Linked DNA regions of Drosophila melanogaster. The protein of the gene in region 2 interacts with the protein of the main gene of each other region in a pairwise test. Each region holds a gene or a part of one and is shown on either strand. Other genes may lie near its edges.

Region 1 (5,240 bases), on a different chromosome or scaffold from region 2:
TCTCCTAAATCAAACTTTCTTTTCCGCTTGCAAAAACATGACCAATCTCTTGATTACTTTTCGACTTAAGCTTCCTCTTCTCAGACTAAACCCAAATCGATCAGTTTATCGCATCCACTCTCAAGCTTTCAAAACTTATCCACATTCAATTTACTAAAACACTTTGCCGTAATCTCTATTTCAGATCCAGCTCCAGTTAGCAGACCGTTACACAAAAGCACTAACACAAAACACTTGGCAGAGCAGCTCTCCTTACGTTTAACTTTAATTACTCAATTATTTGCCAGATTTTGTTGTTTTTCACTTCTTAAGTTGGAAATTAGCCGCGAAGTACGCAGACCTAAAACGTTGGCCAACTGATTAGAGCGAGCGAGAGGCGGCGAGGGGCACAACAACGATCATATCGGATCGGATCTCGGATCGAATGGGAATCAACTATATATCGGACTACTACAGCGCGCGTGTGCGAACGCGCTACGAACCAAACTCAAACTGACGACCGAACTTCACTCCACAGAAATCCACGAGCGAGCAAACACAGCAAATACAAAAGCACAAGCAAAAGCAAAGACGGCGGCAAACAAAAAGAAAGAAGCACAAAGACAATCGAAAGACAGACTCAAAGCTTAGCGAAAGAGTCCGTTGAAGTTCTTTTGGTAAGAACCACAAAAAAGGCGGAAAGGCTTAAATAATCCTTGAACTTAATAATAACCTACATAATATAAATATCCAAGTGTATATTATCAGTCACTTTTGTTCGTTTTGTAACAATAGTCGTACATAGTGGCCTTTGGAAATACATACATAAACTTTATCAACGCGGTCTCATTGAATTATTTTTCTTATTTTAAATGTCTTTTAATTGTATATATTTTCTTATTATACTCAGTGGGAGACTGTTGATCACCTGTGCCGAAAAAAACGTATCTATAATAGAAAATGGGAGATGCTTAGATTGTAGGAAGGAAAATACGGAAATGTGTCGGATTAAAGAGACAGGATTCAGTTGTTATGAAGGAAACTTTTATAGGCGATTGGGTCGTCTACAAGGTGAATTCCCAAAAACAACCAATAAAGAGGGTGTTTGCGTTCCACCCGGACTGCATATCGGTATAAGAAGCATTTGAATAGTAATAAAAGACTAATTTTTTAATTTTACAGATACTATGAATGCCAAAGTCTGCTGCGTTTGGTCACCAGAAATCGGTTGTCAAATCTTATTAACTGAAGATCACCAGGGTGAATTTTGCTTCACTTGCAGAGTGAAATATAAAATGGAATACAAAGGCCTAATTTCCTGTCCGTGCGTAAAAAGTGAAGGATTGGGCCAACCCCATGTGAAATCATGGCAGAACTTTATTTTCACATATTTACTCATAAAATTATCCAGTTTTACCATGGGGCTATAACTTATAAATTTAAAATGTACATATAATTGAAAATTGTTATATATTTTACAGAGAGTTCTAAATACAATAAAGCTTTAGATTAAAATTTGTTTTATTGTGTAAAAATAGAAAACAAATCACAAATACTATGCAAAAATATGAGGATTTTACAAATGAATTTATTATTTTTTCAAAATATTTACAACTAATGTTATCAATATGAAATTAATATTAATAATTAATATTTTATTCACAACGAAGGCAATGGCATTAAAATAATCTCACCTGATACCTCGTATGCAGATGGTTCGAGTCCACGCTCAGGCGCCACCAAAGTTTTGCACCAAGGTTGCAGTCCATAGCCGAAGATTTTGACATGAGTGTGGCCAACTATCCTCAATCCGCTAGTTACACCTCTCCACGGCAAAACCATTAAGGCGTTTTGGTATTCGTGAGAAATCGCTGCACCTCCGTGAGCCCCCCCTCATTCTTTGAATCCTCGCCAACGAGCCGCTAACGTTGCTGACGAATAGTAAGTGCGAAAATTCCGAGCGAAAATTGCATAAGTTTTGTAAAATCGAAATCAAAGTAGCCGAGCGGTGCTCTATCGCTCCCTTAACATACACTAAATTTACGTGGTTGCTTAAAATCCTTCGCTTTTCGGGTAAATTTGGTGTCGTAAGTCCGGGTGCTCGGAATTCGAGGCACGCCGTTATGTAACCTACAAAAGCGAAAAGCAGCTGATTACCCAGCTATATATATAATTAGATAAAGCACATGTCGCCTCCGAGGTACATATATACGTAACTAATGGATGGTCTCTCTACTTTCAGCCGACCCCAGAACAAGAACAGAATCAAGATGTTCTCCAGCTTCTTTGAAACTGCCCGGAACTCGCCATTCCGCACCCCCATGTCGATGGCAAGATGCGATGCCGCCGCCCCAGTGGTGGAACCCCAGCCGGTTGAGGGTCGCCAGATCGCCGCCGCCGCTACCCCGGTGGCCAACCAGCAGGATTCGTGCGAATTCGGCAGCACCAAGTACTTCGCTCTGTGCGGAATTGGTGGCATTCTCAGCTGCGGCACCACCCACACCTTCGTGGTCCCACTGGATCTGGTGAAGTGCCGTCTGCAGGTCGACCAGGCCAAGTACAAGAATCTGGTGCACGGATTCAAGGTCACCGTGGCGGAGGAGGGCGCCCGCGGACTGGCTAAGGGCTGGTTCCCCACTCTGCTCGGCTACTCGGCACAGGTGAGATTGGGCTTCACTTTATGGGTTGCATAATCGTCTGGAGGCGAATTATATGCTCGTGACCAGGTCGGCTGACCTTAATTACATCGGTTCCGGGCTTGAAGCAGATAAAAGTGATTCGAATCGAACATTAGGAAGTTTGATTCCTAGGCTGATATCTTAGTATACCTCAGAATAACAACACACCTTTGACAACTTTATGGTTACGGGAGAAACAGATACCGAAGATAAAATCTTGGATACTACTGCAAACTGAAAAATAACTTCTGAGAAACAGCAGGCTAATCCGCGTTTCTGTATCTTTCAGGGTCTGTGCAAGTTCGGTCTGTACGAGTTGTTCAAGGTGAAGTACGCCGAAATCATTGGCGAGGAGAACGCCTACCTGTACCGCACCTCCTTGTATCTGGCTGCTTCCGCTTCGGCCGAGTTCTTCGCCGATATCGCTCTGGCGCCGTTCGAGGCCGCCAAGGTGAAGATCCAGACTATTCCCGGATACGCCAACAACTTCCGCGAGGCAGTGCCCAAGATGCTAAAGGAGGAGGGCGTCAATGCCTTCTACAAGGGTCTGGTTCCCCTGTGGATGCGACAGATCCCATACACCATGATGAAGTTCGCTTGCTTCGAGCGCACCGTGGAGCTGCTCTACAAGTAAGTAACATTTCCTCTTTAGGTATCCTCTAGTTTCTACAGCGGAAAAACTTACCAGTGCTGTGCACAATATCTGTATTCGTATTAGCGTTTTGCTATTACAATAGTTTAAAGGTAGACTGTTAATCTGTGAAATTTCAAAAGTGATATGCTAATTGATCAAAACTGAAAGTATTCATAATAAAATAAACTTTTAGCGCGTCAGCAGATAAGAATGCCATTCGTATCTAATAAATGGCACGCCAGAATAAAAACCAACGACGAATGCTTATCTTGTTCAAATATAGGAAAATCATATTATTTCAGAACTAGTTTGTTACTATGGATAAAATAAAAAAAGCAAAGCATTCCTTTTGAAGTGCAAATTAGCAGGTAGCCACTGAAAGTTCAAATGTAAAAACTAGAGCAATACCGTTCACAGTTCGGGTTGTCAAGCCCCAACGAACCCCGTTAAATCAATACTAATGATGCAACTTTTCCCAGGTATGTGGTGCCCAAGCCTCGTGCCGACTGCACCAAGGGCGAGCAGCTGATCGTGACCTTCGCCGCTGGCTACATCGCCGGTGTGTTCTGTGCCGTGGTGTCGCATCCCGCTGATGTGGTGGTGTCCAAGCTGAACCAGGCCAAGGGAGCTAGCGCCATCAGCGTGGCCAAGTCGCTGGGCTTCAGTGGCATGTGGAACGGATTGACTCCTCGTATTATCATGATCGGTACCCTGACCGCTCTGCAGTGGTTCATCTACGATGGTGTGAAGGTCGCCCTGGGCATTCCCCGCCCACCACCACCAGAGATGCCAGCTAGCCTGAAGGCCAAGCAGCATTAAGTGGGCTAGTCCAATTGGTTACCTTAAGGACAGAGTTCACTAGTTGGAGCGATTGTGGGCAGACACAGGAGCAACATACTTTTACTTTCTAACGAATTTCGGTTTCAGTATAGCGAAAATGCTTTATACTTGTTTCTCAGCAAGAATACATTAATGTTGCGTGTGTGCCATTGCACATGTACATTCCAAAACAACACTTTACGCATTTCTCTAACACAGCACTTATACACACTTTTTTATAAACACATCTTTCTAACTTTAAAAGCCAAACATTCTATCGTACGAAACTAAGCTACACTCAAGTTCAAAGTATTCAATTCCATATATATTCTGTTATACTATGTGCTATATTTAATCCTATGTGTGTCTAGCTTTCGCTGGAAAGTATGTCCGTATGTTGTACCTTTGATGGCCAGCCCCTTGTTATCTCCTCTCCGCTGCCCCCACAGGCCACACATGCGAATATGATATTAATGCTGTTTCAATTGTCTGACCCGATACCCAAGAAAGCACTCTGAATAAATTAAATTATAAAATATAAAAAACTCTACCAAGCTGCGTTTTCTAATCTTGTCTATCTATTGGGAACTGGTTATTATAGATTGTGGCTGTGATCACATTAGAACGATCGTGGGGATAACCTTATGACCTTATGATTTCCCTGACATTGAAAATGGGGTTTTATGGCGCTATAACTAACTAGCATTGTGAGGTAACCAAACAAGAGATCACGAATGCTGATTGCTTTAAAGGAAAACGGCTAATTTCGGTTTTGTTTAATCGTAATCAGCTGCCAATTGTCTGCGAGAATTTTTATGTGTTGCACAAAATGTCGATTTAAGATGTTTGAGCTAATCTATTATAATTAATATTTTAACACAATGAGCGATTTTTACATATTTAATTTTTAATAACCCACTCGATACTGTTGTAATATTTGTTTGATGCTTCTATAGAATTCGAATGCAAATCTTCATCTCAATTAAATTTATTAAAAAAAGGTTTGGACGTCTTGGCTAAATAAGAAGAACTACAGTATTTTTTCCAAAAATATTTATTTTGTTTATGAGCATTGAGCTGAATAAGACATTACAGTGGCTCGTTGTGTCATAAGTCCAGTAAAAACTAAA
Region 2 (4,063 bases):
GCTGGACTGCTCTAGCTATCGCTGTATAGACAGTCCAGCACAGTGTCCATTTCGTTCTTCTTCACTTAAAATGCATCCTCATTGACCACCAGTGCATCATCTCCTGCCGGGGATTCCTTCCACTTAAATTGCTCTGCGTCTTGTGTTCCCAAGCGATCCGTTTGCTGGACAGGGGGTACATTCTCCTGATCCCCGCCAGCTGCCCTACGAAGTTCCCGGCTCAGCAGCGCTGATATGGCATTATCTTCTGAAGAGCGATTTTCAAATGTTCGTTGTTTACATTTTGAAACGGAACTGCCAACTTGCGGGAACAACAGGGAAATCTTAAGGGCTAGCGACTTAGAAATACCCTTTTATTCAATAAATATTTAAGCTCAGACCAACTTTGTAAATATGATAGTAAACTATTTTCTTATTATAAATACATGGTTGCTTAAGAATTAATTGCACAAATAGTAAGTCAGTAATAAAATTGACTTACAAAAAATTAATCCACCTGTTGCAACGACCTGTGCAGCCAATACACCCCAGCTATCCCTTATATATAACCAGTGTTGAAGAACAGCAGGCAGACGCGCCTCCAAAATTTGAAATGTGACATTGTGTGTTTAATAGCAATTATTACATAATTTCGGGACAGATAATAAAACTTTTCAGCTTAACCACTAGACAATAGATAAATGCAAACTGATCGAGCCACTTCCACAGGTCCAAGACAGTGCTCAGCCGGATCTAGGGCATCATGCGCAGAGCACCGTCGATACGGATGACCTCGCCGTTGAGCAGCGGATTCTCGTAGATGGCCTGCACCAGGTGGGCGTACTCACTGGGCTCGCCCAGGCGCTGCGGGAACGGTATGGACTTGGCCAGGAAGGTGCGCACCTTCTCCGGCAGGGCGGCCAGCATAGGCGTGTTGAACAAACCCGGTGCAATGGTGCAGATACGTATGCCCTGGGTGCTCAAGTCACGGGCAATGGGCAGGGTCATGCCCACCACGGCTGCCTTGGAGGCGGAGTAGGCCGCCTGGCCGATCTGGCCATCAAAGGCAGCCACCGAGGCGGTGTTCACGATCACGCCGCGCTGTCCATCCTGATTGGGCTCATTGGCGCCCATCAGTCCGGCGGACAGACGGATCACATTGAACGTGCCCACGGTATTGATGTTGATCACCCGCTGGAAGTCTTCCAGGCGGTGCGCCACGTTCTTGTTGAAGTTGAACGTCTTTACCGCGGTGGCTGTGCCCGCACAGTTCACAGTCAGATCCAGACGACCGAACTTATCCTTGGCCGTCTGCAGAGCGGCGCTCACATCCTTCTCGGAGGTCACGTCCACGGGCACGAAGACCACCTTGTCGCCCAGCTCCTTGGCCACCTCGTTGCCCTTGGAGGAGGGCAGATCGGCCAGGATCACGCTGGCGCCCTGCTTGGCCAGGCGCTCGGCGGTGGCGCGGCCCAGTCCAGAGGCTCCTCCGGTCACCAGGGAAACGGCGTTCTGGGGGTGGGAAAGGCATGGGGTTAGAAACTATATATATATGTATATATCCAAGGAAATAGATTCTAAAAATGCACTCCATTCCATTTCATCCCAACTACAACATCAATGTTTAGAGATCTTAACAGAATAAGCATATAGAATGCAAAATATACGATCTGTAGGACTGAGATCCTTATCTTTAACAACATTGAGAAGTTGTCCGTTAAAGTTAGTATAGAAATAGCACGATCCTCAATTTGCAGATAAACTTATAATCCGATGCCGGTTTATCTTATTATTTCGAAAGCAGCTGACCGATGCGTTCGGTGTCCAGTTTCCCGATAAGCCGCATTGTATTATTGTATAACTCGGTGGGGAAGTAATGCTAATTGTTGGCTGGGTACAAGGTACATCGCTGTGGGCAGAGATACAGTTATTTATGGGACTCCATGTTTATAATAGACACGAGTTCACATCCCAATTGGACTTTGCACCCCGGCCGCGCAGTCATCGGCCGCTTTTGCTGCACTAATTCCCGTCTAATCGCAGTGTGATCCTTATTTACAGCACCCCACGTACCTTGATCATTGTTCTGGCTGGTGGCGTTGTGTTGTGGGTGCGAAAGGCGGTGGTTACTTAGTGCTCGGCAAAGCTTTTTAAGCAAAAACTTGTTAAGCGATTCGAAACCGTGCAGTGTGACCGTATGTGCGCCGCTTGAAAATACTGCCTACCGGTTAGGGGGCTCCTATCATTGGCTTAGCTTTTAAATTTTGAGTTTTTTTTTAAATTTAAATTTAAATCAATTTGTTTATTACCAAGCAATTAATTTGCAAGATTTTGAAAGAACTTTTAAATATAAATTACCTCGAGCAGGCAAACAGTGAAGATTTTATTTGGCAAGCTAACTAACTTGGCAACTTATTATTTCAAGAACATGTTTTTGCAACAATTAAGGTGGCAGCATTCAAGTCTTTATAAATGAAATCTTTAGCTATTCAAATTCAATGGCTTAAAACAACTTATGCTATAGATTATTACAGTAAATTTTAGTTATAAGCTATTCATTGTATGAATTCGTATTTAGCTTCCACGCCAAAATGTATGCCGTAGAATTACATATACTCATTTAATTTATTTTATGGTTTATAACTTAAATTAATTTGAACATAAACATTTATGCTTTAAATAAAAACAAAACATTGTTTCTGTTTAATTTAAGATTATTTTCATTTTTAATATTTCTTATTACTTCACTTAATAAATAATAATTAAAAAAAAATATTGCTTATATAAATAAGGAGTATTTTAAATAAATCATAACAAAGTTATATCCGAATTTAATTTATACCCCCAATTTATATACTTTTGTCCTCCGATGTATGGAAGAACATCGATGATTCCTCGAAAAACATCGATGCTTGTGATTGTTTGAAAAGATCGATGATATCGATGATGTCATCGATGTTTCTCCACCTCTAAGTCAGATTGCCTATTGAAATACAAAATAAATGAGTACTTCCTAGAAATCAAATGTTAAAGAACACAATATGTCGCTCGGTGGAGAAAGTAAGCACACGCCAAAGTCTTCCAATCTGAGGCCGTTGGACGACGACCAGCTGGTTAGGATCATCAGCACGCCACGTCCGTCAAATGGTAAAACCCATGCAAACTGCGCGTTTGCCAGAATGCCAGAACCAAGATTCAACTCCACTTTTCCACGCAATATGGCAAGGAGTGAGCCAGCATCCCGCCCAGGACCGCCTCAAGCGCCTGCAGGGCCAACTAAAGCGGGTGCAGGACAACGAGAAGGAGCAGGGGACCACCAAGCGGATCACCCACAGTTCCTCCGCATCTCGTCGATCAAGTGCGTCCACATCTACGCCCCAGCGACTCCTGAAGTTTCCGCCTAAGGTGGCGATGAATGCCTGGGAAAAGCCAAAAGCCCTGGTCGATGCCAATCGCCTGAAGGCGGGACGTACCCAAACTGGTGAGTGCCCGGTGCATATAGTTACTCATATCCCATGTTCTCCTTATCGTCTCCCTAGCCTACCAGCGTCTCATGCTGTTAAGAGCTTCGCTGCAGCAGAAGCAGCTATATGAGGAGCGCAACAACAATATTGTGGCCAAGATCAACGAAGAGGTGATAGAAAAACAACCAGAAGCCTGCAACATCACAAATCCAAGTGCATTTGATGGCTCGACGGCCAGCGATATGGAGGTCGAGCCCATGGAATGGCAGGAGTCTATTGAAGAGGAGGCGGCACAGAATGATCAGGATGAGGCTAAGAAAGGGGACGACACTCTATTGATGCTGCCGGCGGAGTCCATTGAAGAGGAGGCGCCACAGAAAGGTCAGGATGAGGCTAAGGAAGAGGACGACACTATATTGATGCTGCAGGCGGCCGATGCCGAGGAGCTGCCCCCAAGGCTTGAGGATTACATGTACTTTGTGCTGGACACCAACGTCCTCATACACAACCACAAGTTCGTGGAGAGACTGACCGATGTGGTGCTGCCGGGCACGGTGGGCAGCATGCTGTACCTTCCGTACATAGTAATCAAAGAGCTGGACAAGCTAAAGAGCAAGTAC
Region 3 (5,002 bases), on a different chromosome or scaffold from region 2:
TGACAATTTTATGACAAGCAAACTGTTATAAAATCATCCACCCAAAGTGGAAAATGCAACACGAGTAGTTTCCGTGGATGGAAAAATCTTTTTTCCTCCTCCGAATCGCTGGAAACTCACCTGCCAAAGGAAGAGGCGTTAGAAGCCGAGTGCCACGCCTTCTCTCTGGCGTCCAAAACGAATCCCAGACTCATCTATTATGAAGTAGGTAATTCCACTAAAACGAACCAACCAAGAAAAGCGCCGAAAATGTAGAGGGAGTGGAAAATAAACACAATCAAAGAGGACAAAACAAAATTTAAGCGCAAAATGAAATGAAATTCGGATTGGAAATGAAACTAAAATACAAACTAATGATGGAGGAACGTAGTGGGGCCGCAATCCAGGAGCCTGTGGGTGGCAAAGGAAGTAAGCTAACAATAGACAAAGTCATAAATCAGGGCGCCAATTTGCAGGCCTGACAGGCTACCCCCAAATGAAAGGAGCGGCAGGCGAGGGGAGAGCGTAGGAGAGCCAGAAGAAACTGAATAGTTATCCTGCACGCCCAAAATGCCAAATTCAGAACACTTTAAAAAATATATTCTCAAATGATGATCAAGTTTTTACAATTGGATTATGATAATAAAATAGAAAGCAGTTGCAAAATATTATAAAAAATATTACATGTTTTTTTTAGAATTTGAAGAGCATCTACTCATACTATTTCAAAGATTGTAAAGCAAAGTATTTTATTTCGCTTGATATTTATATAATGTTTTACCTAGGAATAAGAACATTTCAGGTAAGATTTGTGATGGAATTACGGCAGTGCATAAAAGGGGAAGAATAGGGACTGCGGAAGGCCACAAATTCATTTCGTAATTGTGGCCAAAGAGCCATGTGGCAAGAAGGGGGGGTGGGGTTGAGAGAGGGGTCAGAGGTCGAGGGGCGAAGGACAGCTAGAGGAACCCATTCAGGCAAACAATAATAAATGGGATCCAAGATGGCGTCACTGGGATTGGGAATTGCTATTATACGGGGTGTTTTCTTCTTTGGGGGAGGAAACAGAAAAGCCATAACAATGATGCTCCATAATAAATTAACTGAAATTCACTTAGTTATTTATTTTTTGCCCAAGATGAGAGATTAATCTAAATAAATTGAGTTGTCAAGTGGGGCACAAAGAAAAGAAAAAGTTCGTGGGGGGTGGGGAGGGGTAAAAAATGATATGCCAAATAAATACCAACGGTGAGTAATCGTTTTCTTATTGTTACTGCTGTAGTATCCTCTTCCTCTTCCCCGAAGAGCACCAAAGCGATTCCCCGAAGAAGGCGATTCTTCTTCCCGTATCGCCCATTTCTTCCCGCATCCCCCACCCCCCTGCCCCACACACATTCACCACACTTAACGATGAAAATCCAATTTAAGGCTGCCTCAGTTGTTTGCGCTCTCCTTCCCCCCCTTGGGGCTAGTCCCGTCTCTTTCGCTCGCTCTCTCCTTGCCACCTAAATAAAGTGTAATAAAATAAAGTAGATAGGGATAAGAGTAGATAGGGATATTAGGAACACGAGAGCCCCTTCAACGTTTCTGTTTTTGTTTTTGCAGCTCTCCATGCCGAAAATTCAATTTCCACAATGAAAATGCGCGAGAAAATTGTCTTACATGCCGGAGAAAGAGCAAAAGAGAGAGGGAGTGAGGGGGTTGGGTGAGCGAGCGAGATGGGTATATGTCTCGAAACAACTGCGCTTTGGTTTGCTGGCTGCGCGGCGCATGCGCGAGCGAAAATAACGGGAAATGGCAAAGGCGGCGCTTAGGGGCATCATCCCCATTCCTCCTCCTCCATCTCTTTCCCACCCGCAGCCATCTTTCTGCCGGCGCAGATCTAATTTGCAGCCGACTGCGCTGTCGACGTTGCGACTGCGGCAAGCACCGTTAGATCATTCGCATTCTGACGTTTCACGCGGTCGGTTGAACACTATCCACACTACTATATATATGTCATATAGATCTTACTAAATCCCCCGAAAAAATACGTATTACCCGTCTGGATTAAATGACAATTTTTTAATCTCTAAAAGGAAACTTTTCCGTCGGCAAAACGGTGCTGCGAACAAGGCTGGAAAAACTCAAAACTCCTCATAGACATCCAGCTCCTTCAAGTGCTAAACCTACGTGTGTGTTTGTTCTTAACCCAAAACTAACTACTCTTTGCGGCCTATTACCTCTGAGATTGAGCGTGTAATTTGTAGAGGAATCCTTAACATTGCCCAACTTCCTTTGTGATTCGCCCACGTATCCTTGTTGAAAACTTTTTGCAAAACTTCCTGGCAAGTGTTTAGACTTGTTTAGCTCGGGGAAACTTTCGCACCTTTGTCTTGCGTGTTCGTTCGTTCTGTGAAAATTGCGAAAAAGTTAAACTCAAACAGAGCTCAGCGCCAAAAAGTCAAAAAAACAAGAGCGACAAGGGATTTTCTTCTGTCACACGCTTGAAGTATTGCTGCCAAAATTTTCACGGACGGTAATAAGGTAATATCTCTTATGCACTCATTTGATTTATAACAAAGTCGGAAATTCCTTTAGAAAAGAATTATTATTAACGGGTTTTGGAACGTTATGATCGAATTGTTTGTTATCCTCAAGCAACTGATTCAAAAGATAATCCTCAACTTCCCATTCAAATCGCAGCACACCGTGCGCTCATAATTTATTTAGACGCTTTTAATTTGCATTAAGGAAATTTCCTAATGAGTTTCAGTGTGATAAGAATCTCGGCCTTCGAGAGTCCGGAGTCCTGGAGTGTGTGTTTTTGTGAGCCAGACCCGAAGTGTCTGGCAAAAGTGTTTGTGCCGATGCCTTTCCTGTGAGAAATCGCACAAAACTCGTCAAGCACTTGAAGTGCAAATGTGAAAGAAGCGTGGATTGGAGGCGAAAAAAGAATTAAAACCAAAATTGGTGTATGCATAAAGGATTCGGCAGCAAGGATCCAAAAGGAGATTGCCCCCGAAAACAGCAAGGGATGGGGTATTTCGGTTGAAAACTCGCCGCTTAATTGAAGACAGACCAAAAGTTGATCACTCCGCAAATGCAGTTTGAATAATTGATGGTAATTAAGAGAGGGAAAAAAAGAGGAGACAGCTCGTGGATTCCGATTCTCCATGTGCGCAACGGAGATGGAGCAAGGGTACAAAATCAATGGCAAATAATTCGCCAAAGAGCAAACCAAACAAAAAAAAAAAGAAGTGGGGAAAACGAAGTTTCAAATTAAATTGATCAACCGCAAATTAATTGGCAGCCATGCAAACGTTCAACGCTCCACTGGATGCCACGCCCACGCAAGAGGGCGGTGGGTGGCACACAGGGTTGGGAAGTCTGACTGGATGGATCCACATAGGAGTCAATTGGAGTTGACGAACGGTTTTTCCATTCGTCGCCAAGTTTTGTTCGATTCGTTCAACTCAATTAGGGAAGCATGGGTGCAAAAAAGGGGCAGTGAAATGGGCGCTGAATGGGGGGGTTAAAAAGGGGGCTGGTGCGATAGGGCCGCATACAAATAAAATACAATTTGGCATATTTAAATTAGCAAATGGAATTACCGCAGAGAACGTTAGTCGAAGGAGGTTAGTTCGGCCATGTTTATTGATTGCTTGATTGAATTGGGCAACGAATTGGTGAATGCTCCAAATTGATGGATAGATTGGAGTCCACACATTCTCGCCGAGGCTTTCCATATGCAAATGAGACATGTCACCGTACCACTAGTTTCAAAAAGATATTTAACCATCTAAATATTAACTTATTGTAATATATTAATATATTTATAATGAATAATTCGACAATTAGAACTGATTATCTGTATATAGCATATTCATTTGATTTCGTCATCACACTCTTAGCAAATTTCATAGCCCACTTTAATTCATCCCCTGTGTTTCTCAATCACTTAACGACCCCCCACAAAGCTTAATAAATATATGGTGCCAACACCTCCCATACCCTAACCAACTGAAATGCACAAAACAATTTGCTTTAATTAAACAGAAAATTCAATCAAAATATTTATAAAACAAGAAGACCAAGTCAGTAGGGGTGATCAACGGATTTTCCTCCCCATGCGGGCGCCCCGAAGATGACGATATACCATACATATATGTATTTATGTATGTATATCAAGTATATATAATTGAAAGGGTTAGCTTTCGGAATCGGCTCTGTTTGGCTTTCGAGTTTGTATAAGCTGGCGGCACTTGGACACGAAAAACTGGCGGGGGTGCAACACGGCTGCCTAATTCAATTTACGCTCATTTTTTGCAGTGCAGCATTCGGGCGCTGATTCGCTGGTGGGTGGCTCTCCGGCCAAATGCACTGCATCATTTCGGTCCGATTTACACTGAGGCTCTGATTCCCTGATTCTAGGCGCGAGCCAATTGACACAATCAAATTCGAACCTCGCAAATTCGCTTAATGCGCCGCGAGACAAAAACAAGAGCAGCAAAAAAATATGCAAAAAAAAAAAGGAAAACGCTCAACCAAAACTGCAATCAAGAGGGATACTTAGATGGGGGCATATGCAAATGGTTTGGCTAGACAGTGGAGATTCCAAAAACATGAAAGTGTAACAACTTGTATGTATTTCATTTAAATATTAGATAGATCATTGAGTAGATAGATCATAACTCTCAGCTACTGTGATATGAATATTATATTGAAAAATCCTTTCCGCACCTGGAAGCTCTACTGTATCCATCATATCACAGCCCACTCCAAGTTGGATCATCAGTGGCAGACTGCGCCAGTTTAGTTTGATTACGCCGGCCGGACAGGCAGACATTTCTAAAAACGGATGCACTTTACTTCGGTGGCAAAAGTGATAACCTCATCGCTGGACGGCCAGTTTACCGCCACCCACTTCCACCTCCTCCTCCTCCTCCCATTACCATATCATCTCACCTCAGTGGGAAATTATCGCGCTCTCGGTTTGGGGCAACAACAAAAACAAAAAAAACTAGGAAAACTAGAGCTAAAC

What was found.
Region 1: the proteins of scu (region 2) and Mpcp2 interact in a two-hybrid assay, tested with the Drosophila melanogaster proteins (one large-scale study listed by BioGRID).
Region 3: the proteins of scu (region 2) and Drgx interact in a two-hybrid assay, tested with the Drosophila melanogaster proteins (one large-scale study listed by BioGRID).

What each region holds. Positions count from the first base shown.
Region 1 is NT_037436.4:14,535,783-14,541,022, forward strand, and holds Mpcp2 (mitochondrial phosphate carrier protein 2), read left to right. Parts: upstream 1-1,868; 5' UTR 1,869-1,920; intron 1,921-1,943; exon of another isoform or gene 1,944-2,066; intron 2,067-2,221; 5' UTR 2,222-2,249; coding exon 2,250-2,639; intron 2,640-2,946; coding exon 2,947-3,287; intron 3,288-3,770; coding exon 3,771-4,110; 3' UTR 4,111-4,659; downstream 4,660-5,240. Other genes in the region: CG43246 (uncharacterized protein), read left to right, coding at 852-1,110, 1,162-1,409.
Region 2 is NC_004354.4:18,089,380-18,093,442, reverse strand, and holds scu (scully), read right to left. Parts: upstream 2,185-4,063; 5' UTR 2,062-2,184; coding exon 2,053-2,061; intron 1,889-2,052; exon of another isoform or gene 1,789-1,888; intron 1,492-1,788; coding exon 733-1,491; 3' UTR 590-732; downstream 1-589. Other genes in the region: Swt1 RNA endoribonuclease, read left to right, coding at 3,021-3,126, 3,206-3,460, 3,519-4,063. UniProt on the Drosophila melanogaster protein: Mitochondrial dehydrogenase involved in pathways of fatty acid, and steroid metabolism.
Region 3 is NT_033779.5:3,660,802-3,665,803, forward strand, and holds the start of Drgx (dorsal root ganglia homeobox), read left to right. Parts: upstream 1-1,943; 5' UTR 1,944-2,505; intron 2,506-5,002.